Linked DNA regions of Drosophila melanogaster. The protein of the gene in region 2 interacts with the protein of the main gene of each other region in a pairwise test. Each region holds a gene or a part of one and is shown on either strand. Other genes may lie near its edges.

Region 1 (6,729 bases), on a different chromosome or scaffold from region 2:
AGTGGCAGGAGTTCTTCTACGACCAACTAAAGCCCTGGGTGCACTATGTGCCGCTCAAGAGCTACCCCAGTCAGCAGGAGTACGAGCACATCTTGTCCTTTTTCAAGAAAAACGATGCGCTGGCCCAGGAGATCGCTCAGCGTGGATACGACTTCATCTGGGAGCATTTGCGCATGAAGGACATCAAGTGCTATTGGCGCAAGCTGCTCAAGCGATATGTGAAGCTGCTGCAATACGAGGTTAAGCCGGAGGATCAACTTATTTACATAGGGCCTAAAAAGGATGAGCTGTAGCGAAATGAAATGTTATTGTGTTTAAGCATTTCTCATTTTGTATTAAGTTGCTTAGAGCAGCGTGAATCTCTCTGTCCGCATTCCATGCATTTTTGATGTCCAAGATTTAGAGAACAACTCGAATATTTTCCTATTTATATATATAGCATTTATACAATCTTTATAACAATCGAAAGCCATTTGTTTTAAGACTCAAAGTTTAAAATATATTTGGAAGAAATATGTAAATTCTCTTTAAATTTTAATTATGACCCAGCCAAGGATATGCTTTTTAGTTGGAGCCCTAATCCTCTCCTGCACTTGCGTTTCGTGCTCCAAGGACAAATGCGCTGTCAACGAACACAACCCAAACTCAAATAGTTAACTATATAGAATATAATATAATATAACCTTTTCAAGATTTGTATCCTTCAGCCAGCTACGACTTTGTGCCGCACATCCTGCACGCCCTGGCGATCCATCGACCCTGCGTAATCGGTGATCCGAAATGCCTCTGCCATGTGGCGACCATTCAAAGGGATTTGGAACCGTATGTGGACAAGGGGATTACACCTGAGATGATGGCGCAATCCAAACGATTGGGCACTTTTTACCAGATAATCCGTGGACGCATCTATCGCCAGCAGAAGTGCCTGCATCCCAAGCGATGTGCCGATGTGGAGGATCTGCTCTTGGACATGGCCAGTGGTGTGGCAGACCTGGAATTCGTTCTCAATGTGCGCGACTGGCCGCAGGTGCACTTCCTATCCGGCCTAAGTGGTCCGGTGTTTTCCTATTCCATCACGAATCGCCACCTGGACATCATGTACCCAGCATGGTCGTTTTGGACCACCACGGGACCCATCCTGCAGCACTATCCCCACGGTGTGGGTCGCTGGGACTGGATGCGAAAACATTTGGTGGCCAGGGCGTCGGAGTTGCCGTGGAGTGCCAAGCGCGCTATTGGTTTCTTTAGGGGCTCACGATCCTCGCCAGAACGCGATAGTCTAGTCAGGCTCTCGCAAAGGCGTCCAGACCTGGTTGATGCCCAGTACACGATACTAGCGACGGATGCCGATCCCGTCGAGAAGATGCCTTTGGTCGAGCACTGCCAATTTAAGTATCTGTTCAATTTTCGCGGTGTGGCCGCCAGTTTCCGGCTGCGGCACATACTGCTCTGCCGCTCGCTGGTACTTCATGTTGGCGACCAGTGGCAGGAGTTCTTCTACAGCCAACTGAAACCCTGGGTGCATTACGTTCCCGTGGCCAGCGACGCCGATGTGGATGAGCTGGCGGAGTTGATTCTATATCTGCGCGAGCACGACGATCTGGCGGAGGAGATTGCGGAACGGGGACAGCAGTTCATTTGGCTCCACCTCCGAATGGAGGATGTGCAGTGCTATTGGAGTAAGATGCTCCAGGAATACGCAAAGTTGCTCACTTATAAAGTGCAACGGGAGCCGGGACTTCTGGAGGTATCCAACAAGAAAGCGGTGCAGCTGTACCGCGGAAAATAAACTTAGTATTTACAATCTTAGTTTTGTACCAAAAAATAAAAATCTGTATAATTAATTTTAAATTCAAATTTAAATCAGCCAGTGCTGCCACACCCAACAGCCAACTCCCCCCACTAGTGTGACCACACACAATCCTGGGTCAATTGTTACGTCACTGGCCAACAGCTGTTTGAAAGTTTTGATTTGGATTCGCTAGCATTACATGGATTCCGCATCATGGCAGCGCAGCTGAATCCATTCCGCAATGCCTTCCGGCTGCCGTCCAAGCAGCGCATCAACTGGTTTCCCGGCCACATGACCAAGGGTATGCGGCAAATTCAGCAAAAACTACGAAATGTAGACTGCATAGTCGAGATTCACGATGCACGCATCCCATTGGCGGGCAGAAACTCCCAGTTCTTTGACACAATCACCGGTGAGTACGTTTACAACCATAAGCTGCCACTTAATACGGGACTCATATTCCCCAGGAAGTGGTGTTAAACCGCATATTCTGGTGCTGAACAAAGTCGATCTGCTGGGCGCCAAACAGCAGAAGAGCGTGCTCCAGCAGCTGAGGAGACAGCAGCCCGAACTGCAGCACATCCTGTTCACCAACTGCAAGGATCAGCGCAACAACGGCGTGCTGGACATCCTGCCCCTGGCAACGCGCCTCGTGAGCGAGAGCAGTCGCTTCAATCGCACCCAAGCTGCCGAGCACAATCTGATGATCATCGGCGTGCCCAATGTGGGCAAGAGTTCCGTGATCAATGTGCTGCGAAATGTGCATCTCAAGAAGAAGAGCGCCGCACGCGTGGGTGCCGAGGCGGGTATAACTCGATCCGTCGGCGAACGCATCAAAATCCAAGAGAATCCGCCTGTTTACATGATCGACACACCCGGCATCCTCCAGCCCTCCATTAAGGATGATGAAATGGGCATGAAACTGGCCCTGGTGGGCTGCCTTCCCGATCATATTGTGGGCGAGGATCTGATAGCCGACTATCTGCTGTACTGGCTGAATAGCCACCGCAAATACGACTACGTGGAGATGCTAAAGCTCAGCTCCGGACCCAGTGACGACATCAGCGCCGTGCTGGCGGAGTACGCTCATCGGGAGGAGCTATTCCACAAGGTCAAGCAGTACGACGGACGCGTGGAGGTGATGACAAATTTATTGGCGGCCGCGCGAAAGTTCATTCACTTCTTTCGCTCCGGCCAGTTGGGTCACATGAATCTGGACGAACCCAGTGGTTTCAGATAGCTATACATATGTATGAATTAAACTTAGGGGCTTAGATTAAAGACTGAACAGTCGATTCTGCTCGCGTCCTTATTGATTTTCCGCCATGGGCACATCGATGGCAATGTCGCCAACGCCGGGCACGGGAATCGAGTACGAAACACTAGCCAAATCGTCGGTATCATTGGCTAGATCCATGGGTGCATGGTGCTGCGGCGCCTGGTCCACCTGTGGCGCGATTCCACCAAGATGTCCAGCCAACTCAGCGGACTGATCCACCTCCGGCGGCACTTCGACGGGCGCACTGCTAATGTGCGGATAACTGGTGCGCGAGGCCGCCAAACGCAGCTCCTCCGGCACGCCCTTCATTCGCATCGCAATGTGACGGGAGTAAGGTGCCATCTTCTGGAAATAGTCAATCAGCATTTGCGGATCCTTCTCCACGATCTGTGCCGATGGCACCAAGTCGAACTCGTCGCAGAACTGCCAGCGCACCAGATACTTGATGTCGCCCGTCACATCCGTTGCGCCCACGATCTCGGCCAGCTCCAAGCCGCGCTCGTAGCCGCGCAGCTTCTGGATCTCTTCGCACTTGGGTTTCTTCTCGCCGCGCTTCTTGGACTTGGCGCGCGACTCCTCGAATTTCTGGATGAGATTCGGGCAATCGCAGTTCTCCTCGGGCTCCCAGGTGTTGTCCGCCGACGTGTAGCCACGCCACTTGATGTAGTACTCAACCTTGCCTTCGCTGGTAATGCGCTTGTCCATGATGCGCTCCACCACGAAGTTGGGCTCGTTTTTAACCATTTTTTATTGTGTTTTTACAAGATTGTTTACAATATTTAAAATCGGCTTGGTTTTTTTCACTAGTGCCAGTGTGACCGTTTGCTGACTTCAACAACAGTTACAATAGCAACATACTTCTGACAGCATAGAAAACGGTCACACTCGCACGCGCTTGCAATTCGAATTCAGGTGAAATTTTAAAGCTCAGGTGCAATGGAATCCGAATCCTCGCAGGATGATTGGTCCGCATTCGATCCAATGTCCAGGGAATACTATGACCAAGTGGGCAACCGTTACACTAACGAGTCTGGCCAGAAACTAATCATGGAAGCCCCGCTGCCGCCAAAGGACGAAAAGGAGCAACGTGCCACCAGGCAGGCGAAGTATCCATACTTGGTGGTTCCAAAAAGCAGTCCCTATGTGACCGAAAAGATGCTAATCAACTTCTTCGGTCGGGCGCTCATCAAGGAGATGGAGTTCCGCCGCTTGTCACGCGTATACTTTGTCTACTTTGAAAATATCGCGTGAGTTTCTTCAAGCACTTTCGCAGGTCATTCAATATTTCGAGCGTATAATCCTTTTTCCAGATCCCTGGAGACAGCGCAACAGCGGGTGCAGCGTTACCCGAACCTGATCAAGTGCATCACTGGTCGCCCGCAAAAGGAGCGGGAAATCACCAGCGATCCGGTGACTTCCACTGAGCCAATGCCAACACCAGGCCCAGCAATTTCGGCCACTGAACGTACGCCAGTGAATCACAACAGAGAGGTTCCGATCTCGACCGGAGGACAAAATCATCCGGAGTTCTTCCGGCCACCGCTGGTCACCAAAGATGATTACAAAAGAGGTTCATTGTTGGCCACCAACGACCCCATTCAACGCTATCTCAATGTAAAGTACGAATTCGCACTGGAGCGCCATGATATCTACAAGCTTAAGGATGAGACCAGAATCCCGCAGGTCGTTCTGCACTTTCGTTCGGGCAGAACGATTCCTTTGTTAGTATAGCCACCTGGTCACGTGCCCTTGATTAGCTAACGAGTATAGTTTCTGCATCACTCAGGTCAACGGTTGCTGTCACCGAAGAGGATAAAACTAAAAGCCTGCTGGAAGACGGCGTCAGCAAGTGCGTGGTTTGTCAAAACTGGACAGACACTTTCTGCAAGCTGTGCAAAATGCCCTTCTGCAATGCCTCCTGTTTCGCCGATGTGGCAGAGCAGCATAAGCAAGCTTGCGGCAAGGGTGAGATACTTAACCTTGACGAAAAGGTGGGCCGGAAGTACCCCAAACCCGGCTTGCCGCCGTCTGGATCTAAAGTGAGAATTACTGCATTCGAGCAGACTAACGTGGTCTATGTGCGCTCGGCGGACATTCAGATTGACATCGCCTATTATACAGTTCTCACGGAGGTAATGATGCTGGGCAAAGATGCCTCCAAACTGCAGAGTACGCCAGTCTGCGGACAAATTGTGCTCTACAAGTTCGAGGGACATATGTCGCGCGCCATGGTGCTAAACGTGGATAATATCAAGGAAATCTATGTAGTGTTCATTGATTTCGGAAGTGTTGAAGTCACGCAGCTGGAAAGACTGTATGAATGCAGTTCGTATTTAGCTGGTTTGACCTGCTATCCCGTAGCCGTTAAATTACGCGGAGTTCCCAGGCGCTTTGTGGGTCCCAACATAAGGGAAGTCATGTACGAACTCGACCAGTCCCTAGTTTTTAATATCAAGTACTCGTCACGTGAGTACGATACCAGCAAGGGCATGCAGGTCGTGGTGATGACCGAGATCGATATTAATAGGAGCCTCAACCGCCTTTTCAAGACCATCCTAACTCCTGTTGAGCCGTCTGTCTCGGACTTGGGATACAAAGAGGACGTAAGCCAGAACTTAAAAAAACATCAAGTACACAGTTGTCATTTGCATTTATTCGGTTTCAGTGTCTTCCATACATTCCCTTGCACTGCGGAAAGAACATAAATGTAGTGGTAATGGACAACACATTCATCCAGTGCGGCTTTATCTACTGCACCTCCATAGATCTGGCTTACGAAGTCACCAAAATGCAGCGAGACATACAGGAGTATGGTGAAAAGATTGCCAAGTGCGCAACCTACGCACCGCCGTAAAGTTACTCGCCGTTTTCTTTTGTCCATTTAACTAAAGCGCTCTTTCATTTAGGATAAATGAGCTTTGCATAGCTAAGTACGAAGGCAAATGGCGTCGAGGTCTCTCTGTGGAGTTAGTAGGAGATGGTTATCCCAGCATTTTGTTCATTGACTACGGAAACATAGTGCCAACACATGTCACCGACATACGTCCCTATCCGCCGCAGTTTATCTTCCCTATAATGACCACACAGTTGGATTTAATTGGTAATTAGGCTCTCCAAAGATAATTATATTATTTATATGACTCGATTTTCGTAGGAGTGCCTGAGAAGCCCACCGATGAGCAGATCAAATGGCTGGATAAAAATTATCCCATTGGGTCCGTTATCACCTGCAGCGAAATCACTTTCGACGAGGAAACAAATAGCTACTCCACTCGCATTGAAAAACTGCAGGAGTTCTTAAGTTTGGACTAAGTTCTCAAAAGGTTGATTCCGCGAAATAGTTCAGAACTAATTATGGCCAAAAAAAAGCACAAATCTTCCAGGTTAACTCAACTGCTAAGCATTTAGTTCAACAAAATAATTTTGTTTACATTTATATTCTTGAAGTTAACGTTTTGTTTGTTTAAGTTTTTACTCTCACTTTTCTTGAATAAACCAGTTGAATACAATCCAGACTATCCGATATAGCAGTTTCCTGTAAGGTCACATTGATTTACGCAATTTAAGTTAGTAAAATGTAATACAAATCTCACCTCAAAGAAAACACGGTCAAAAGGTGGCTCACTTTTGGTCCAGTCCGCTAGATTCTATAGGTTAT
Region 2 (8,097 bases):
TTTGTTGCCCCTCCGCTGGCGGTTGCTCCTGCCCAGGACCACACCCCTCCATCACTCCACTCCACCCACCCTCTGTCAATTTTGTGGTGCCCAGCTCCACAGCTTTTTTGCGTGGCTCGTTGGTTTTGCGTGATCCACACTTTAAGCAGCCTTAGCCGCAGTGGACGCCAGCAGAAATCCTTTTGAGGCGCGGCCAAAGGATGCACGGTGCGGGCTGCTTGCAGAATTGCAGCACTAACTAAGCAATTTGTTACCATATTCTACTTTAATTTGCTGTTAAGCCTCATTTTCGGTATATAACTTGTGTAGTTTTCCTAGTGTAAAGTGGTTTTATAAATTTTCCTTCGAGTGATTTTTTGCACACAGTATATTCATTCAATTTCAAACATTCTTGATGTTCTTTCTTATTTTTGCTTTCAGTCCCGATTCTTCAAGGCTTCTATTCCCCAGTATGAATTTCATCCTGTTTTCGTCTTGTTTTAAGTGACAGCTTGAAGCTTGAAGAGCCTTGGAGGAGCGTTCAAGAGCAGCTTGGAAAAACTGGCAAAGAATAAGGGGGTTTTGTCCACTTTAATGGATGGCCGCAGAAAGGCGCAAGGCTTTCCAGCCATTTTCCGGCGTCTCCCACATCCTTTTTCAGCTCCTTCTCACACGTTCTGGATCCTGCCGCTCCTGTTGACAGTGGACTACGGTAGGAGCCTCTTTACTTATATTTTCATTTGAAATCAATGCCCTCTTTCAGAGGGTCTATCGATCAATCATGGATGCTTTTGTTAAAATGATTTATGAAACACTTTTATCCCAGAAGATTTGAAGGAGTTGATAGACTCGTCTTCAATGTTGTATGCCATGTAAGGGATATCGATTAGCCATTTTGTTAAGGGTATTTGTGCAGCATCGACAATCTAATTTCGAACTCCGGCCTTCAGTGGCTTTGGCCATTTCCTGTCGCCATTTCTTTGGCAATCGCTTTCTCTTTTGACTGCAAGTGTGTGACGGTATTTTTTTTAAGCACTGGCTGCTGGTTGGCTGCAGATTTGAACTCTTTCGCTTTGCCAGCGGATGTCCTTTAAAGGTCCTTTAGCGTGGTTTCCACACCGTTGCCCCGGCCACTGCCCACACACTTTCTTCACGCTACTCCGATAATTTCACTTTGAATTTCCTCATCGCAGCCTTTCTGGAGAACGGAAGCGCGCTAGTTTCCTTTCCCAGCGGACCGGTTAGTTTTCCGCGTTCTTTTTCCAACAACTGTTGGCTAAGTCTTCGGACTTGTCAAAGCGGAAAGGGCCTTCATTTCCGCCTCGAAAGAGCCGCCGCGTTTCCCTTTTTCCAATTCGCTAGCTGACCAAAAAAATAGTAAAAAAATCGAGAAAGGAGAAATAGGTAGGCAAAGGTGTATGCTAAGCTAAGTTTTTAAAAATACTCCTCTGAAATTGTTTATTATTTAAGACACGATCGCGAATTATGCTTGCTTCTTTTAGTTCGACTTCTCAAACACAGAAATTTGTCGAGATTTTTTATTGAGAAACTTCGAAAATTTTAAATTTTTATTTTTATCCATCATCGAATCGTATTCTAAAACAAATTCTATCTAATTTTTATCAACAATAAAATGAAGTTTTTATTGATCAACACACTGCTACCTACGCAGGTACTAAATTTGATCTGCATAAATTATTTAAGTTTTTATTGCGGCCTTGAGACTCAAAAAATTAGATCGATATTAATAGTTTAAACATATTTGAAAAATCTTTTCATGTTACACATGTAGAAAACTACTACACATAATATGCAATCCTATAAATAAGACTCCTTAGTAATACATTCTTCCTTTTCTCCTTTCTACATAAGCATTGAAACATTCTGGTGACAGGTGACAGTATTAATCAGAGAAAAAGGCGTAGGATTTTCGAGAAAAGGATTCCCCCCTAAGATGTCAAGGCCCCGAGAAAAAAAGGGGAACCCTCAAAGAGTGGGGAGAATCCAAGCACCTTGCCGCCGATTCGCCAAACGAAGGCCGCAAAAAATAATTTGCGAATTGCCACGCGTTTTTTAGCCCATGTGTGCACCCCCGATTTATATATGCAGATATCTATATATAAAAGTATTTGGCCCCCACAGACGCACACACGTATATATTTATATATATATATATAGATATATTTCGAGTGGTCGGGCCAATCGGCGTCGAGCACGAAGTTCGCAGAGGCTCGTGGAGGCGCCCGAATGCCAAAAAGGTCAAAAAGAGAGAGGGCAAATGGAATAAAATATGCAAAATATACAAAATAGCACACACAAATACAGCGCACACGGGCACACGCACACACAGGCAAACGCAAAACAAAGGGGGATTTATTTTAGTTGTTGTTATTGGCTGCGCAAAAAACAATAACAACGGCCTATAGATGCTGCAATAGCAGCAACAACAACTCCTATTAAAAATGCGTTTCCATAGGCGCCGCCTACCGCGTGACGTCACTAGCTGCACTTGCTGCGTCTTTGCCTCCTTTTCTTTCAGCTTTTCCTCGTACTCTTTTCTTTTTTGCTCTTTTCGGTTGCCACCTCCAAGTTTTCGTTTTCGCGGGGCAGCATGGGGAAGAGGAAGCAGAGAAGAGAGTGCAGCCGAAGCTTTTCGTTTGTTTTCGCTCGTCTTTCAGCCGTTTTTTTGTTGTTGCTCTGCTCCCCTTCTTCATGCTGGCTTGTGTGTGCGTGTGTAGGAGCAAGCAGCTTGCTGTCCCACTCGCACTCGCGCCCTCTTACGGCACTTTTAGGGGCGTGGCCAAGTTGTGAGTGTGTTGCTGTCGCCACTTTTTCTCTGCTCTTTTTTGCCATAGTTTCTGTGCCTAAGCAGCAAAAGCAACAACAAGGAGGTTAAGGATGATGCAGAAGAAGAAGAAAGAGGGTTGGCAACTATTTTGAAACACTTTCTTACTGGACATTGGCCAGTTTCTCTTTCTTGCCCCTGCTGTTGCTGTTGTTGTTGCTGCTGCAGCTAGGTTGCAAGTTGCTGTTGCTATTCTCTTCAAGTTGCAGGTGTAGGCTGCAATTTTTTCGCGACCTTAGCATGCTGCTTTGGCGATTTGTTAAGATTTTTGCGATTTATTGGTAAGCATGGCATTTATATAAATAAGAGAACTTATTTCAATAAGTATTCAAACTAATTATAATAAATATGATTCGTTTTTAATTGTAAATGAAGTATGTTGATATAGTAAAAACTACTTTCGCAAATTTATGTGACAACGAAAAAAAAAAGAAACGTTGGGTCTTAGACAATTATATAAAAATCGTAGTGAAATGTATGTTTTTTATGATGAGAAATATGATTCGAATAAAAAACTATTAATCTGTACTAAAATGTATAAAAAAATAACAAAACAATTGCATTCCAGATTAATAAAATATGTTCTCCTCTTATACAATCACGATTTCATTTTAATTATAATTTCTAACATTTCTAAAAATTTCGAAATTTTCAATTTTTTTTCAAGCAAGATCTCTGAAAATTCAAAACAAAGAAAGCAAAGAGCACACTTACTTTCGCTCTTAAACCGCCGCTCTGTCGATTTCCCAATTCGCCGCAAAAACCGGAAAACACCACGCCGGCGCTCTCATTCGCCGCGAGAGAGCGGGCAGCGCAGCTGACGTCGGCAGCGCGGCGTCGAGTTTCATTCAATTTTTTGAAATTCAGTTCGTTTATCTGTGAGATTCAGTTCGTATCTGACTTTCGGCGTGAGTGGAGTGCAGCGTTTGTTTTTACGGCCACTGAAAGCCAGCAACAACAACAATAATACCCACAACAACAACAACAACGACAGAAGCGGCAGCAAAGACAGCAAAGCAAAAGCAACAACAAGTGACGTGCAACAACGACAAGCAGAACAGCATGTGTTGCATGCAGTGAACAAAACAAACAGAACATAAACACAAGTATTCTGTTAATATTTAATAAAACAAGAAAGTGAACTAAAAGTGAACCCATCGAGTGAATACCAGACGAAAAATGTATGTGTGCGTTGATTATTATATTAATTATGGTGCTTTATTTATGACAAATGACTGGGCTGCAATGAAAATCGATTTTATACCTCGACCATGTACTATTCTACATAAGTTATCCAGTGGAAATGCCATCCCCGCCAGACCCCCTCGCACATTTTCCGCGCATTTTCCTTGGCGCTACCAAAGAAATTGTAATTTATTAATTTATAACACAAGCCACCCAGCGAAAAGGTCGTAAAAAGCAATGTTGCTTGGTCGTTTTTGGGCGCCCAGGAAAATTAAGAAGAAAACCCACTCGAAGGAGCAACTTTTCCTACAGCTCCTGCCTTTCCACAGCTCCCGCTTTTCCGAGTGGGTGGCACGCGCCAAAAACAGTTTGTAAACATTTTGCACACAGCGAAAGCCGAGCGAAACACGAGAAAATCCAGACTGTAATTTATTACTTGCTGCATAAATAATAAATAAGCGTTAATAAATAAATACAATATGCAATATATAAATGTGTCCGAGCGCCCGCACACCGCCCCCCCGTTTCTCAACGTGTATTTGTGTTCGTTTTTGTGTGCGGGCGGGCCCACTTTAAGGATACAAAACCTCGAGACTGAATTAAATAAATAAATACAGAAATAATAAATAAATAAAGTGCCCAGCTTGCCTGCTGTTTTATTTTTTTGGCTGCCAACAGCTGCGCTTGCTATAAATAATTAAACGAAAATAATATATTACGAGGAAGCAGGAAAGAAGAGTGTGGAAAGGCAAGAAATCAGGGAGTTTGAAGTATTTAGGATTTCGAGTCAGATACTTGTCAGCAGTTATAATTGTATATGAAGGAAAAAATTAGTTTTTTGCTTCCACATTCACGAAAAACTGAAACTCATTCTAAAACATAATTTTGAATTTATTTAAGGCCAGGCTTTGGTAATAAATAAATGAAAATCTTGAATAATCATAAAATCAGCTTTGATGTGTCGACTTTGGAGATGTGCGAATCTTCTGCATTTGGCAATTTACTTATTTATTTATTTGAGGCCGAGTTTTTCCCAAGAATCATCAAATTTAATGCGAGCAGCCACGATAAAAGCAACAAACATGAATAAATAAGGGGAATAACAAAAGGCGGAGCGCGGCCATAACAATAAACCAAAAGTTGCCAAGAGCAGCAGGAGTAGGAAGAGGAGTAGGACCGATTTTCCTCCGCAGCCCACAGTTCGGGAAACTCTGAGGATTCGGGGTAGCTCATCAGCTCCTCAATTCTCCAGCTGTTCAGCTCTTCAGCTCCCTCGACGATGAGTCCATGGATTCGTATCCGGATCCAGAACAACAATAAAATAAACAAAAATAATAACTGTGGACGGCGCCGAGGAGCTGCGGCCGCAAGATTTAATTGGAATGAAATAATAATAAACATAAAAAGTAGCAAGAAGAAGTATTATAATAACAATAATAATAAATATAATTAAATTTCATGGCGGCAGCAACTTTCCACCCCGACAAAAACGACCCAAGCGAACCGAGCCCAAGTGTGCTGCACAAACACACATAAATTAAAATTATACAAAATATTTAAATAAATATAATTACTTTGGGCCCACTCTCTCCGAGCTCTGCCATAAATAATAATATTTAATTAAATATAAATCTATAGACGGGCGCTGTGCGCATGCAAGTGTATCCAGAGACAACAATACAAAATAAGCAATAATCGCGCGCACACACTTACAAAGCCGCTATATACGCATCCATATATAAATATATATGTATATGCATATATACAATATATATATGTATGTATATAGATATGTGCGTATAAATACAACAATGAGCGGCGGAGACTACGAATAATTGCAGCTCAGTAATATAAATTAAGCCAAATTAAACATAAATAAATGTGTGCTTAGCTTTTAGCTAATAAAGCACATTTCTGGCCTGGGCGTTACAGTGGGTGGGGTTGGGTGGTGGGTGGTGGGTGGCGATTGTTCGGCTGGTGGCTGGCAAATACTAAACATAAATTAATAGAAATTCATGGAAATTTCGACTGGCAGGGAGATGGGGCAAGATTAATAGGCTTATTTAATAGAGTTATGACTAAGAGCACAAATGTGCCCGCTGATTCAGCTTGATGTGAATAAAACACTTGCCACGTTCGTTATCGTTATAGATCCCAAAATATATTCGATTGGCAGGGGGAATAATGTGGCAGACAAGATAAAGCCATATTATAGCCAGCATTCTCTTTGATTGGCAGTTAAATATCTTATTCCGAGTTAATTGAAACAAATTAAATGTATACAAGACTTTCATACTAGCTGTCCATATATTGTATGTTACATATGTCAATCCCGTTCGCACAATCATGTGAGTTTTCCTCTCTTTCAGCTTTGAACTGCTCCCAGGAAAAGTTCTCGTTTCGCCCCCGAAAATGTGTTAGAAATCCCGCAGAAAACCTGCAAGACAACCGATAAGAAGGAAAACTCTATAACAGCACCATGGACATGACCAAACAGATTGTGGACTTTGAAATAAAGTCGGAACTGATCGGCGAAATCGATCAGTTCGAGGCGAGTGACTACACAATGGCTCCACCGGAAGAGCCTAAGATGGTGGAAGAGTCCCCCCAGTTGGGTCATCTAGAGGACCAGAACAGAAAGTACTCACCCGAAAGGGAGGTTGAACCCACTCTGCAGGATCCAAGTGAGGTGGTTGATCAAATGCAAAAAGATACGGAGAGCGTTGGAGAAGTCAAGTCACCCGAGAAGGATGTGGAAACGGAGCTGGTGAAGTCCAAGGCGAGTCCGATGAACGACCAAGCTTTGACTCCCCCACCACGACCTCTGACCTCCAGTGAAGTGGTGGGTCTCCGGGATCCCGAACATACCGAGCTGCGCATGTGCCTGGAGGCCAAGAAGTCGCGCTCCCTACCAGTTTCCCCACAGCCTCAACCAAATCTTAAGCTAGCCGGATCGGCGCTCTTTGAATTCGGTCAGAGATCCTCTCCCGTGGAGACCAAGATCAAAACCAATCCAGAGACAAAACCGCCGAGGCGCAAAATAGTTCCTCCCAGCGGCGAGGGGCAGCAGTTCTGCCTGAGGTGGAACAACTATCAGTCTAACCTGACCAATGTCTTTGACGAACTCCTTCAGAGCGAGTCCTTCGTGGACGTGACCTTGTCCTGCGAAGGCCACTCGATCAAGGCACACAAGATGGTGCTATCCGCCTGCTCACCCTACTTCCAGGCCCTGTTCTACGACAATCCCTGCCAGCACCCCATCATCATCATGCGGGACGTCAGCTGGTCCGACCTGAAGGCCCTGGTGGAGTTCATGTACAAGGGGGAGATCAACGTCTGCCAGGATCAGATAAACCCCCTGCTCAAAGTGGCCGAAACCCTGAAGATCAGGGGTCTGGCGGAGGTCAGTGCGGGCAGGGGCGAGGGAGGCGCCTCCGCACTTCCCATGTCCGCCTTCGACGATGAGGACGAGGAGGAGGAACTGGCCTCGGCCACTGCAATTCTGCAGCAGGACGGTGATGCCGATCCCGATGAGGAGATGAAGGCCAAGAGGCCCAGACTGCTGCCCGAGGGAGTCTTGGACTTGAATCAGCGACAAAGGAAGCGGTCCAGGGATGGCAGCTACGCCACTCCAAGTCCATCCCTTCAGGGCGGAGAGTCCGAGATCTCGGAGAGGGGCTCATCCGGCACTCCGGGACAGAGCCAGAGCCAACCCCTGGCCATGACCACCTCCACCATTGTGCGCAATCCCTTCGCCTCCCCCAATCCTCAGACCTTGGAGGGCAGGAACAGCGCCATGAATGCAGTAGCAAACCAGAGGAAATCACCAGCACCAACAGCGACAGGTCACAGCAATGGGAACAGCGGCGCCGCCATGCACTCCCCACCCGGGGGCGTGGCCGTCCAGTCCGCCCTTCCGCCCCACATGGCCGCCATCGTGCCGCCACCCCCCTCCGCCATGCACCATCATGCCCAGCAACTGGCCGCCCAGCACCAGCTGGCCCACTCGCACGCCATGGCCAGCGCCTTGGCAGCCGCAGCCGCCGGAGCTGGCGCAGCGGGAGCGGGCGGAGCAGGATCTGGCAGTG

Evidence for each region.
Region 1: the proteins of bab2 (region 2) and CG17141 interact in a two-hybrid assay, tested with the Drosophila melanogaster proteins (one large-scale study listed by BioGRID).

Annotation. Positions count from the first base shown.
Region 1 is NT_033777.3:22,742,803-22,749,531, reverse strand, and holds CG17141 (uncharacterized protein), read left to right. Parts: upstream 1-1,932; 5' UTR 1,933-2,005; coding exon 2,006-2,204; intron 2,205-2,259; coding exon 2,260-3,032; 3' UTR 3,033-3,086; downstream 3,087-6,729. Other genes in the region: rumi, read left to right, coding at 1-293; CG31139 (uncharacterized protein), read left to right, coding at 541-652, 708-1,789; HP1c (heterochromatin protein 1c), read right to left, coding at 3,102-3,815; vret (vreteno), read left to right, coding at 4,008-4,318, 4,382-4,792, 4,858-5,674, 5,737-5,921, 5,978-6,171, 6,226-6,383; CG6985 (uncharacterized protein), read right to left, coding at 6,535-6,606, 6,665-6,718.
Region 2 is NT_037436.4:1,172,889-1,180,985, reverse strand, and holds the start of bab2 (bric a brac 2), read left to right. Parts: upstream 1-3,709; 5' UTR 3,710-4,005; intron 4,006-6,378; 5' UTR 6,379-6,488; coding exon 6,489-8,097. UniProt on the Drosophila melanogaster protein: Probably acts as a transcriptional regulator. Required for the specification of the tarsal segment. Also involved in antenna development.